Linked DNA regions of Macaca mulatta. The protein of the gene in region 2 interacts with the protein of the main gene of each other region in a pairwise test. Links are inferred from orthologs where the notes say so. Each region holds a gene or a part of one and is shown on either strand. Other genes may lie near its edges.

Region 1 (4,124 bases), on a different chromosome or scaffold from region 2:
AAAACAGCGCAGCAGCTATGGAAAACAGTCTAGTAGATCCTCAAAAAGTTAAACAGAATTACCATATAACCCAGCAATTACACATCTAGGTATACATCCAAGAAAACTGAAAGCATATATACCATACAAAAACTTGTAATTGAGTATCCACAACATTATTCATTATAGCCAAAAAGTAGAAACAACCCAAATGCCCATCAATTGAAGACTGGACAAACAAAATGTGGCATAGCCATATAACAAAATAATATTCTGCCATAAAAGGTATGAAGTATTGATATACGGTATAATATGAATAAACCCTGAAAGCATAATGCTAAGTGAAAGACACAAAAGGCCACATATTATGATTCTATTCACATGAAGTGTCCAAAATAGGCAAATCCATAGAGACATAAAGTAAATTAGTGGTTGTCAAATATGGGGGAGGGGGAATAGTAACAAAAGCTACTAGGTACAAGGTTCTTTTTAGGATAATAATGTTCTTGGGTTAGTGTTGACATTTGCGCAATTTTGTGAATATATTAAAACCACCAAATTGTATACTTTAAAAAAGTGAATTCTATGGCATATGAATTATATCTCAAAGAAAATGATTATAAATATTTAAGTCTCTGCTTTTTCTTTTGAGACAAGGCTGGCTCTGTCACCCAGGATGGAATGGTCCAGTCGTGGCTCACTTCTCTGCTTGCTACTTTTTATTAGTAAATATTCTACTTTCCTCAAGAGGTTGTTCATGTTGCTTGTAACAGCTTTAAAAGATCTTTGAAGTCAGCTACTACACAGATTAATGGTATTTTTAGTAAAGTAAAACTACTATAACAGAGAAACTTTCTAAGAATCGGATTAGTTTGGTATAATTTCATTTTTTCAAAAGAAATGTTATTAATACCAAGTTCATTTTTAGAGAGTGGAAAAGCTTCAACAAGTCATTATAAAACACATTTTTTTAAAAAGGTCAAAATGCAATACTTTGTTTTCTTAATTAGTGGACATTTCATTTTCAGATACATCATTAGATTACCTGTTTAAAATGTTATTAAATGCCTAGCAATCAACTAAAACCCAAGGAGATGCAACTTCGTGACCTCTACTTACAACTTTCTACATTCTGCATTCTGTTGTCAGATTCCTAGTCCATCACTAGCTCCTAATCTCTTACATCAATTATTCCGTTCAATTCTCACTCACAGGGGCTAAAATGTTTGGTAAATGCAATCAATTCATTTTTCTAATGCTGGGGAACTTACTAGAGTGGGCCCAATTTTTAAGGTTAAATTTAGTCCAGAATGTTTGAATATTCAACAAAACGATTTCCTGGAATTTGGAACATAAAAACAGCCTATAGAGTTGTGAAATGCTTTCTAGGTCCTTCGGGAATTTTTTCATGTATTTAGTCGTGGGGCAAAGTATTACGTATAAAAGCTTCCTGGTCCCAGAACAAAGACGTATTTTACTGCTCAAAGCTAAAGGAATTAGTATTGTTACACTAAAATAGCATACCAATGAAACCAGCTAGGTATTGGCATAACCCAAGGTATGTAAACAAAGATAAAGTGTACCTTATTATGCATTCTTCCTTGGGGGGAAAAATTCTCACATTAATAAGATTTAGCCAGCCAAAATAGAAAAAATATACACATATATATGTGTCTGTGTATGTCGGTATGTATAAGGATTAGGATTTTGAGTAGCAATTTAAATTTGATGGTTTGCCAAGCTATGCTGGGATACATGGTGGGCATGCTTGACACAGGCAAAACGTGAAGCAAGAGACGACCTGTCAAACAGCTGCTATCTAGTTACTCCCTCGGCAGCACTTCCAACTTCTCCCGCGATGTCTGTGTATGAGAGAAAGATGTCAAAGCACCAAGAAAACCAAGGGGGATATCAGAGCAACAGCCAAGTCCAAACCGTGCATCCCAGGGTGAAATGCCACCCGTACCCTCAAGAGCTGGTCAGACTGCGGCTCTTTTCTAGTATGAGTCTACCTAAAATAGAAAAACACACAACCACGGACCCTGGCCAACCCGCTCTCTCCTCCCCTTTGTGACTCTCCCAAACGCTGGAGGGATGTTAACCTCCGGCAGGCCCGTGGAAGCCAAGCCCCGCGACCTGAGGAGGCGTCCAGGAGCCTCGGCACAGCCCTGGGGCCTCGAGTCCGTGTCCCCCACCCACCCGACAGGGCCGGTCACCGGTCACACAAAGGAGCCAGCCGCGGGCGCTGGACGTGGGGACTCGCCCCAGAGCCGGGAGCCACATCTGGTTCCTGCACGCTGGCAAAAGAGACCCGCTGGAAAATAAGGATTAACGCCCAAACCTGTTGCACAATTCGGGTCCCTTTCACCCAGAAATGAACAAGGGCGCTCAAGAGCGGAAAAGCGCGCGGCCCGGTCTCTGCGGGCCGCGGCCGCACCCGGCAGACGGCGCGGAGGCAAAGGCGGCCCGCGGGGCTCCCACCTCGGGCGCTTTGTCTGCGGCGGCGGGGGCGGCCAGGGCGCTGGGAGCGGAGGGGTGGCGGGGCGGGGGCTCCCCTCCTTCACTGCGCAGCCCCTCCGCCCCGCGGCCCGCGCGGGGGAAGAAAGCCGGGCCCGCTGCCGCCGCCGCCGCCGCCGCCGCGCCACCGCTGCACCGGCCACCCGGCCGCGGGGCCTGCGCGCTTCTCCCGCCCAGGCCGAGCGGCGGCCACACTCACCTGGCTGGCGCTGACGCTAGCGGCCGGCGGCTCCGGGGCGTTGGGGAGGACAGGGGAACGCTAGCGAGGTGCGGGCGGAGGCGGAGGGCGCGGCGGGAGGAAGGCGGGCTGGGGGCGGAGCGGGCCCGGGCGGCAGCAGCGGCGACGGCGGCGGCGGCTCCAGTCACTCGCGGCAAATCGCGTCCCGGCCCCTCCGTGCGTCAGGCGGGAGCGGGGGCGCGGGTGGCCCGGCGACCTCTCGGCACCCGCGGCCCGAGCCGCGTCCGCGCGACCCCGCGCACGCCCGGGTGACGGCGGTACAGCGACCCAGCCCGGCGCGGGAAGGGGGAAGCAGGCGGGGTGGGGCGGGGCGGGGCGTCCAACCGGGCCTGGGGCTGAGGGCTGGGCGCGAGCGGGACTCTGGCGATCCCGGACGGACCCTGCCGTCCCCACCCCTAGTCGAGGCCCAGGCTCCCCAGGCGGGAGGCAGTCTGGGAAAGTGGAAGGGTCCCTAGACCTGAAGTCAGAAATTTGGGCTTCAGAGAGGGCCCGCTACTTGACACCTTGGCAGGTCGTTTATTTCCTCTGGCCTCATCCTGGAGTTCGAAGGTTCGAGTAGAAGGTCTCCAAGAGCTGCTCCCAAGTACCCACTGCCAAGGCGTGGTGTGGCTGAAGGATGAAGGCAGATGAAAGGGAAAGGGTTGCTGTGAGGAAGGGCTGGATTCAGGGCATTTGTTTTGCTTTGAGGATCTTTCCATTGGACAGTCCAAAATTAATCCACAAATGGGGCTCCCTGATAATGGCTACTTCCCCATTTTTACCAACCTAGTTATTTTTCTCCAAATATACTGACTTAAGAGTCCTTGTTCTCATTTTATTGCGCAAATCATTTTTATGTCATTTCCTGAATTCAGTTCAAAAGAGTCATCAGCAAATTCACACCAGATCAGAGCAGCTGTGTGGTCCCAATTTCAAGACTTCCATATTATTCACTCAGCCACTCACTTGAGTATCACCTAATTCCATTGATAAAATCTTGCCATTCCAACAACTAAGCAACCAAATTTCTCTCCACTAAAGTTTTCTGACTTAAAATCCCATGGATTAATTCTTCTTAATTCTGTGAATATCAGTCTGTCTCCATGACTTCCACCTCTTTGCCACTCTTTAGGTCAAGTCTTTAATTTCACTGCTGCTTCAGTTCCACATAACTGCCAGAGAGAATGCTCCAAAAAGACAGAGCTGAGCATGCAATGTCCCTCTTTAAAATCATTCAGAGTCTCTCCACCAGGTTGAATCAGAGTCAAACCTGTTATCATGGTTTACAAAGCCATTTAAAATCTGATCTCTTGACCTCCTTGGCTCCAGCTTCAACTCCTAACATATCTACGTATCACACAAATTCAACAGGCTTTGTCTTTGTGCCCTTGTAGTTTTCCCCCACCTGAAA
Region 2 (4,239 bases):
CTTGCTGTGGACCTGCCAGTCATCCCCCCACCCCCCAAGCAGCCTTGACCTATTCCAGACAGTTGGGTGGGAGGCAACACAAACAGCAGCAGCCAGGGTCAGTGGCAGGTAGATTTTATTGGCCTGGGACACACGGGGGGTATCCTCACCCACAGTGGGGCAGGGGGCATGATGTTGAAGATATAATCTGATCGTCACTTGTGGTAGAATCGCGGGTTCTGGCTGTGTTGGATGAAGGGGAGCCGAGGGCCAGGTTGGCTGGTAGCTGCAAAGCCCGACTGGCGGTGGTGATGAAAAGAGGGCTTTGTCACTGGGCGTACTCTCCCACTTAATGCCCTACTGGTAACCACCCCCAGAGAGGAAGAAAAACCAGGTGATGTGGGCCACCGGTCCTACCTAATCCTGCTTTTCTGGATCCCTAGTGTAAGGATTCTGACAGGTAAACTTTATTATCATTCTTACCTTTCCTGCTGGTTGCATCTGCACAGGGAGCTGTGGGGAAGCAAGGAGTCCAGGGGCTGGATGCAGAGCCTGGGGGTGCATGGGGCGCAGAGAGGACTGCAGAGAACAGAGTCAGGGCCTGAGGCATACTGAAGCTCCCCTTAACATATCCCTAACCCTGACCTCCCAAGGTGCCATACTCACTGAGTCGGAGAAGCCAGTCTGCTGGTTAGCATGTTCCATCTGCTTTTGCAAGGACAGGGCACCACCAGGCTGGAGGAAACCTACGTGGGGAAGAGGGGCATGTGAGATGAGAATGAAACAGGGAGGGGAGGACCCAGAGAGCTAGAGCTCCTGCATGGGATGTTATCACCTGTCTGAGTGGGCTGAAAGTGGCCGTGCACGGCATAGGGCTGTGGCTGTGGCTGAGATAGGTACTGCACTGTAGGGAATGCTGAAGGAGCTGAGAAAGGAAAAGACAGAGCCATTAAAACCTTTTACTCAATGGCATTCCTCCTTTGACGTTGAGGAAGGCCAAGCCCCATCCCTCCTATTACTCACCTCTGAGCTGCTGACTAGGACTATAAGCTGGCTGTGTGGGCCCATAGTGAGGTGGGGGCTGAGCAGTCCCATAGGCACCACCAGGACTGCCTTGGAATTGTCCATGCTCTGGTGTCCCCGCAAAAGCAGCTGCTGAGCCCACATAGTGCCGGGTCTAAGGAGGGAGAATGAGAATTCGCCTATAAACTTGAAAGCTGAAACCCAGTGACTTGTGTATATCTGTATGCCGCATTTCCCCCTAAACTTAAGTGCTTGATATGTTTGTGACTTGAATACTGGTGGCAAGGATGCATGGATGGAAGCAGTAGGGGCTGGGCATCCAATCCTACTCTCACCGTAAGCACTTGGGGTCCAAACATTTGTTTGGCTCTGTCAGCTGCCATGAGGGTGCCTGGGCGATTGTGTCCTCCAGGGCTCCCTAGAAAGGGAGAAGGGCTTCATGATGCTGAAATGGGAGGCTGCAACCTGTAAGAAGGCCGGTTCCATCAGGTGGTCTCTTTAGTCCTCACCCTGCATGCTGAGGAGATGAGTTCCTGTGTGGACAGTCAGGCTCTGCTGGTATGCAGCTGATGTCAGGGTGGTCAGGTCACTGGAGTGAGAGGAAGGCAGGTCAAAGCTAAGGACAGATGCCTTCTCTTTCGCCATTAAACACTAGTTCTTTTATTACTTGATCCCAGTTCCACTTGGCCCCCATTTCAGTTTTTAGCACTCTGATCCCACCTCTGTTCCTTTCGCCTCCGTTTTTCTTCCTCATGTAAAACTTTCTTGAGCTGCAGGAAAAGCTGATGCTTCTCTTCCTGTAGGGCCAAAAGCTTCTCCTCCAACTTCAGAATCTGGGAGGGAGTGGGAAGAGAAGATGAAGGCAGGGAGAGTCAAGGGAAGAAATCAAAGCTGGGAGAGTTCAAGGGACTGCTTACTTGTTCCTTGGTCTCCTCTAGTGACATTCTCTCTTCCATCTCCTTTTTCTTCCTTCTCTCCTGTTCTTCCTTCATCTTCTGTTCCATCATCTTATCCACCTCTTCTTCCTCTGGAGAATCAGGCAGAATGAAGAAGAGGCAGGGTAGTGAAAACAGTTCCAACGTTAGATTGAAGACCAGCAAAACCCAGTCATCCCAACACGCCTGTGCGCTCTTTGCCTCGAGGGGACAAGCTCCCCCATCGCTGCAATAGGGAACGGAGAGGCTTTATCAGGTGCTCTCCAAGGTCCTTCCCGTCTCAAGGGTTCTGGAGCGTGGACCAGGACGCTTAAATCCCACCACAACGGGGCTATTCCTTCCCTCCTCTGCGCTCGGCAGCGGGCTCACTGGTTGGCCGCTGGGTTGAGGCCAACCCTGAGGTACAGGAGCCATTCTGGGCCGTGTGTCCCCCCGCTATGGCCCCGGCTCACCCTGCCGCTTGCGCTCCCGCTCCATCATAATGTGCCGGTGCAGCGCCCTGGCCATGGCGTTGGAAAGCTTGGGGCGCTCCAGGAGTGCGGGCATGGTGCTGCCGTGGGCGCTCGGGCCGTGGGCGCCCGGCTCTGTCTCTGACTGCCAGACCTCAGACGGCGCCTGCGGGGAGGCGGGCGCTCAGAGGGGACCGCGCCCGGCCCAGGCGGAAGCCCGTCCGCCCGACCCGCTAGCCGCCCCGGTCACGTGTCCCAGGAGCCCGCCACCCGGCCGGGCCCGCAGCCCCCGCTCCACCGCGCGCACGGGCGGCGCCGGGATCCCCGACTCGGTGCTGCCGCTCCCTGCCCAGCCAGCCCGGACGCCAGCCCTCCCTACCCGCCTTCTCTGCGCTTTCTCAGCAGCTCCGGCGCGCCCTGGCCCGTACGTCACATCCGGCGGCCCGGCCAAGTCCTTCCGGAGTCACGGCTGCGGCCGACCTCACGGGTTGGGTGAAAGAAAGCGGAAGCGCGCTGCGACGGGTGCCCGCGGCGTCCAAACCCCGTAGCCGGGAACGCGGGCGACGAGGGCTGTAAACTGGTCTTGGCATCCTCAGCTCTCTTTAATTTCGCGGGCCCACCTGGTGGCACCCCAGGGGACGCGGGCTCCGGGGAGGGGCGCGCGAGAGAGAGGCCGAGGCGGAGGCTCTGAGACGGTGTTTATTGGCTCCTTAGAAATCAGAGTCAGTAACAACTGTACAGAGGCCCCCATCTTCCGTGCGCCCACCCTTCCCCACTCCTGCCCGGTGGCCCCGGAAAAAGCAGCTTCATGTGGGCACAGGGAGAGACTCCTCTGGGATTCACAGTAACCAGAAACAAAAACGGAAATAAATTAAGTGATGTGGGGAAGGGGAGTAAAAGGGAGTCATGTTCCCCAAATCAGTGCATGAAGAGGGGTACCAGGGCCTGGAGCTGGGCTCCCACGGCTCCTCCCATCAGACGGAGTGCTGGGCCTCCAGACATGGAGCTGTGCCACTTGCCACCTACATCTGAGAGCCTGCCTACATGCTCCTGCGCGGCTGCCAAGCTCCAGCACCTGCGCATGCCACGAGTCACGGGAATGAGGTGGAGGCAGTCGCCAGAGTCCATGGGCCCGAGGCCCGACTGTGCTTGTAGTATTTGTGTGTCACCCCTCATTCCACCCGTACCAGCAGGGCATAGAGGAGTGTGGCCCCCTTCTCCTTAGTGACCCACTCAAGTTCGGCTGGACTGAAGTGAGGGTCAGGAGGTTCTCCAAGGGCAGCGGAAGGGGGTCCCGGGGTGTAGGAGCCAGGGCGCACACACACCTGGAACGCCACCTGAGCCTGGTGCGTCCGCTGGGATTTGGGGTCCCGGAATCTGTCAAACAGGAAAAAATAAGGGAGTGAAGCTTCTCTCCCCATCACCTCCCCCTTGCAAAGTCTGTTCCAACCACACAAGCCTTGCTGTACCTAGGAAATACTCCCGCCTTATAGGAGCTTCACTCTAGCTGTTCTTTCTACCTGAAATGTTCTTCCTCCCAAAGCCTGCTCAGCTACACCCTTCACTTCCTTCTTCAAGCCTTTGCTCGAATCTCTCCCACCTTCTTACGATGCCCACACCAGCCACACTGCTGTCTCCTTCGCCCCCCTCTTTCCTACGATGCCCACACCAGCCACACTGCTGTCTCCTTCGCCCCCCTCTTTCCTACGATGCCCACACCAGCCACACTGCTGTCTCCTTCGCCCCACTCTTTCCTACGATGCCCACACCAACCACACTGCTGTCTCCTTCGCCCCACTCTTTCCTACGATGCCCACACCAGCCACACTGCTGTCTCCTTCGCCCCCCTCTTT
Region 3 (4,072 bases), on a different chromosome or scaffold from region 2:
GGTTAATTCTGGGCCCGATCTCTTCTTGCCAAGCAAACAACTATGCAAATATAACTGTGCAAATTAAGGTTATTATGCACTTTCTGATAACACTTTCCTATTCTAAATTAGGGGAGAAATAGTCCCAATAAGATCTATAATTAGAAACAATATTTTGAAGAGATAGCAAACTAAGTTGTATTACATTGTATTACATTGTTTCGAGATACCTTGTTTAAAGAGTTACTTCTCCGCCGGGCGCGGTGGCTCAAGCCTCTAATCCCAGCACTTTGGGAGGCCGAGGCGGGTGGATCACGAGGTCAGGAGATCGAGACTATCCTGGCTAACATGGTGAAACCCCGTCTCTACTAAAAATACAAAAAACTAGCCGGGCGTGGTGGCGGGCGCCTGTAGTCTCAGCTACTTGGGAGGCTGAGGCGGGAGAATGGCGTGAACCCGGGAGGCGGAGCTTGCAGTGAGCCGAGATCAGGCCACTGCACTCCAGCCTGGGTGACACAGCGAGACTCCGTCTCAAAAAAAAAAAAAAAAAAAAAAAAAGAGTTACTTCTCAAAAGCTACTGTTGGGCGGCTGCGGTGGCGCACGCCTGTAATCCCAGCGCTTTGGGAGGCCTAGGCGGGCAGATCACCTGAGGTCGGGAGTTCAAGACCAGCCTGATCAACATGGAGAAAATCTGTCTCTACTAAAAATATAAAATTAGCCAGGCGTGATGGTGCATGCCTGTAATCCCCTCGGGAGGCTGAGGCTGCAGAATCGTTTGAACCTGGGAGGCGGAGGTTGTGATGAGCTGAGATCATGCCATTGCACTCCAACCTGGGTAACAAGAGCGAAACTCCGTCTCAAAAAATAAGAAATAAAAAACAATGCTACTGTTAACTAATCTACTCCACTTGGATCCACCAGATACTTTGAATGAGAAGTGGGAACCACTCTACTGACCTTCCTACCCCTACTACTGCCACTCCAGCTTAACAGTAATTACCTTCACAAAGACAGAAAGGAGTTATCAAATCACCAAAATAACTCTAAAAACAGAAAGTGAGGTGATCTTTCTTACTCACAGTCCCACTTATTCATTTAGAAGTGCCGAGCACCAAAACAAACCTTATCACATATTCAGTATTTCGTGAATAACTGCCAAGTATGATGGAATACTCCCCAAAGTACTGCAGCCTTAGGACACGACCACTCCACTAAATAAAAAATTCAGCGAAAGCTTTTCTAACAAGGCTGGATGGTGCACTAACTCAACGGCCAAACGGCTGCACTTCCTGTACATGCACGTTCAAAACACCTCGAACTAACATGCTAGGGACCTTGAAGAACTGTACTAGGCCTTGCTCAAGAGGAAGGCTTTGTAATACTGAATCCCAAAAGTTGAAGCAGCAGAATTACTTCAGGGAAGACGCAGGTGTGAAATATTCCGTAAAACCTGTTTCACTCTCACAACGATCAGGTTTTTAAAAAGAGGGAGAAAACTGACCTCAATTAAGAGCATTTTGGCAACACACATAGTTGAACATGAGTTGTGAAAAGAAATCTCAACTCCATCCAGATCTGTCCGTCCATTCCCACGGAAACCTGAAGGAAGGACCGCAGCACCAAAGGCGCCCACTGCTCAGTGCCAGCGGCGGGCGACACCAGGAGCCTGTCCTGGTCCCCTGGGTAAGCCCCGGAGCCTGGCTACTATGCCGGGCACGATCCAACCGTGAGGGCTGGATCCCCTCACCTCTGTCCAGGCGCCCCCCAAGAGCTTCCCCGAGGCCTGGGGACTCCTAACTCTCCACGCCTGGCCCCCGAGAGCACCACAAACGCGGACGCCACGAAGGGAGGCCCGTCGGCCAGTGGGAGGGACGCACGGCCAGGGGGGCGAAAACTGGGGCGAAGGTTTCCCGGGAGAAACCGACGAGGGGGCAGCCACGCCCCCCGCCCCCAACTTCAAACCCGAGGGCTGCGAGCACCGAGCCCCACACGCTGCCTGACAGACGCAGGCGCGAGGCCGGCGCGGGAGAGGGCTCCTCGGGCACTCCAGGGGCATCGCCGCGACCCTCGCACGCGACCGCTCCCTGGGACTGACCTGTGCCTGCCGCCGCGCGACCGCCCGCCCCGCCGCAGCCTCCGCCTCCTCGCGCTCACTCTGCCGCCGCAGCCACCGGAGCCGCCTCCTGCGCTGCGCCCCAGGCCGGCCTCGGGCGCCCCATTCCCACCCCGCCCAGCCTCCGCCTGTTTACAATGATTGGGACGGAACAGGACGAGCCGGTCCAGCGCGCACGCGCATTCCCTCCTCCCGCCGCAGCCGGCTTCCCGGATCCTCCTCTCCGCTCAGACGGCTGAAGCCGTCAAGGGCAGGCGCCCTGTGCTCTCGCGCGGGTCGCGCTGGGAGGCGTAGTTCCCGAGGCCCCGGCATCCAACTAGCCAGAAGGCCTTTTGCCAAGGAAGCAAACTACAACACCCAGGAGGCACCGCGCCTCCTTCGTCCCCAGGCTCGCTGAGGAGACTAAAGAAGAAGGCGAGAGAACGCGCCGAGCGCCAGTGCTCTGCAGGCGCCTGCGCAGTCGCTGGCCTTGCGGGATGCGGGGACGGACACTTACCCCGGTGTGGTGCTGGCAAAGGTGTCTCGTGGGCATGTCCTGCAACGGCCCAGAGGATGGAGAGAGCTTCCCTCTCCACGCTCTGGCCAGCCTGCGCCTCAGCTCCCGAAGTTGAGAACTTTCCTTGCGCCAGCGTGCTTTCGTCGTTCCAACCAGTTAAACCGGCCTGGGGGCCGCCCGGCCTGCCCCTGGGTGGGGCTGCTGCCCCGCCTTCGACTGGGTGTGGGGTTGGAGGAAGGAGCGCCGTAGGCCTGTAGGGAGAGGCGGGAATAAACCTCTGTCGGGAACATCCACGGAATTCCTGAAGCGGGTGTGGGCTTCTGCGGGGCTCCAGCGCGCCCCCGGCTCAGCAGTTACCGAGCAGCCCAGCCCGTGTTTGGCTGGCAGTAGAGATAACTGAATTTCTTCGAGAAGCCTTTCACCCAGGCTTGTTGAGTTGCTCTGCTAATGCATAGCGAAGGCTGGAAACAGGGTTTCAGCAGTCTTCGTGTTTTCTGAAATGTGGCAGTTTATTAGGGGAGAGGTGGGACTTGGAATAGACGACCCTTCCCTGTCCCTGGCATTCCTACGTGCAGCACTCTCTGTGGCTCTTCGTTGCCTATTTAGATTGGCAGCTGCTGTCCATCTTGCTCTCTGCTCCCACATCAGCTTTCCTCAAAGCGGGCGGTAAATCTGTCTCTAGTACTCTGCGCTTCCTACCCAGTAAAGTTCAACCCCTGGGGCCTTACATTCATTTAGGGGCCTCCCACAAGTGGATACGGCATGGTCTGACATAGCCATTGGTCTTTGACTTTCGGAAAAGCCTTCTCATGGCCCCTTTCGCAATACAACAGTCTTCTCTGACCAGTGGGTTGGGCAGGTGAGCATGGCAGTGACAATTCTTTGCCTGTGACAGCACTGATTCGGCCAAGGGACAGGCATTGATCCACGCTGGGCCTTATGGAGGCCTTGCCTGAAATTGCTATATGGACGCAAGAGGGGAGCAGAGGGAGTTTTCTACTGAGGCAATTGCTGATGGACGTGTTTCTTGCAACCGAGTGGCCTAGCCAAACGTGAGGGTGGGAAAGAGAAGAAAGGGGAAATGGAAAGGGAGAAAGAGCTGGCAGAATGTAGACCGTGGTTTCATTTGGAGGCATGGTTTGTGCAGCTTTTTAAGTGCTGTGAGCACGTGAGCCTAAGTAAGTGGGCCCACTGATTGATTGATTTATTATTTGGAGCCAATGTGTGTGGATATAGAATATATTTGTTGGCTGCCACCTGAGTATTTATTCCTCCCATTTAAGCCAGGCAACGTAACCATTCCCTCTAGCAGCAGAGATGGTCACAAGCCCAGTCAGAAACAATGAACCCACAAAGACTTGGGCTGGAACTTCCAGTAAACGGTAGCTTCCTTGCTTATCTAGCATGGTGTAAGTATATGACGCCTGGAAATGTGGCAACCGTTTTCCTCCTATAAGGGGAAACCCTAGAAGGATGAGAGTTT

Evidence for each region. The genes of interacting proteins can lie anywhere in the genome.
Region 1: the proteins of GPS2 (region 2) and SESTD1 interact in binary tests that used the Homo sapiens proteins (3 or more experiments, as listed by UniProt). The two-hybrid records come from large-scale screens. The link is inferred for Macaca mulatta from reciprocal best matches to the Homo sapiens genes GPS2 and SESTD1.
Region 3: the proteins of GPS2 (region 2) and RALBP1 interact in binary tests that used the Homo sapiens proteins (3 or more experiments, as listed by UniProt). The two-hybrid records come from large-scale screens. The link is inferred for Macaca mulatta from reciprocal best matches to the Homo sapiens genes GPS2 and RALBP1.

Annotation. Positions count from the first base shown.
Region 1 is NC_133417.1:84,190,213-84,194,336, forward strand, and holds the start of SESTD1 (SEC14 domain and spectrin repeat-containing protein 1), read right to left. Parts: upstream 2,801-4,124; 5' UTR 2,696-2,800; exon of another isoform or gene 2,321-2,695; intron 1,847-2,320; exon of another isoform or gene 1,781-1,846; intron 1-1,780. UniProt on the Homo sapiens protein: May act as the primary docking protein directing membrane turnover and assembly of the transient receptor potential channels TRPC4 and TRPC5.
Region 2 is NC_133421.1:8,806,326-8,810,564, forward strand, and holds GPS2 (G protein pathway suppressor 2), read right to left. Parts: upstream 2,801-4,239; 5' UTR 2,694-2,800; intron 2,553-2,693; 5' UTR 2,484-2,552; coding exon 2,390-2,483; intron 2,030-2,389; coding exon 1,920-2,029; intron 1,836-1,919; coding exon 1,723-1,835; intron 1,592-1,722; coding exon 1,512-1,591; intron 1,421-1,511; coding exon 1,338-1,420; intron 1,157-1,337; coding exon 1,003-1,156; intron 905-1,002; coding exon 815-904; intron 726-814; coding exon 646-725; intron 559-645; coding exon 463-558; intron 279-462; coding exon 195-278; 3' UTR 99-194; downstream 1-98. Other genes in the region: NEURL4 (neuralized-like protein 4), read right to left, coding at 3,559-3,763. UniProt on the Homo sapiens protein: Key regulator of inflammation, lipid metabolism and mitochondrion homeostasis that acts by inhibiting the activity of the ubiquitin-conjugating enzyme UBE2N/Ubc13, thereby inhibiting 'Lys-63'-linked ubiquitination.
Region 3 is NC_133423.1:80,441,159-80,445,230, reverse strand, and holds the start of RALBP1 (ralA-binding protein 1), read right to left. Parts: upstream 2,801-4,072; 5' UTR 2,590-2,800; intron 2,252-2,589; exon of another isoform or gene 2,076-2,251; intron 1-2,075. UniProt on the Homo sapiens protein: Multifunctional protein that functions as a downstream effector of RALA and RALB. As a GTPase-activating protein/GAP can inactivate CDC42 and RAC1 by stimulating their GTPase activity.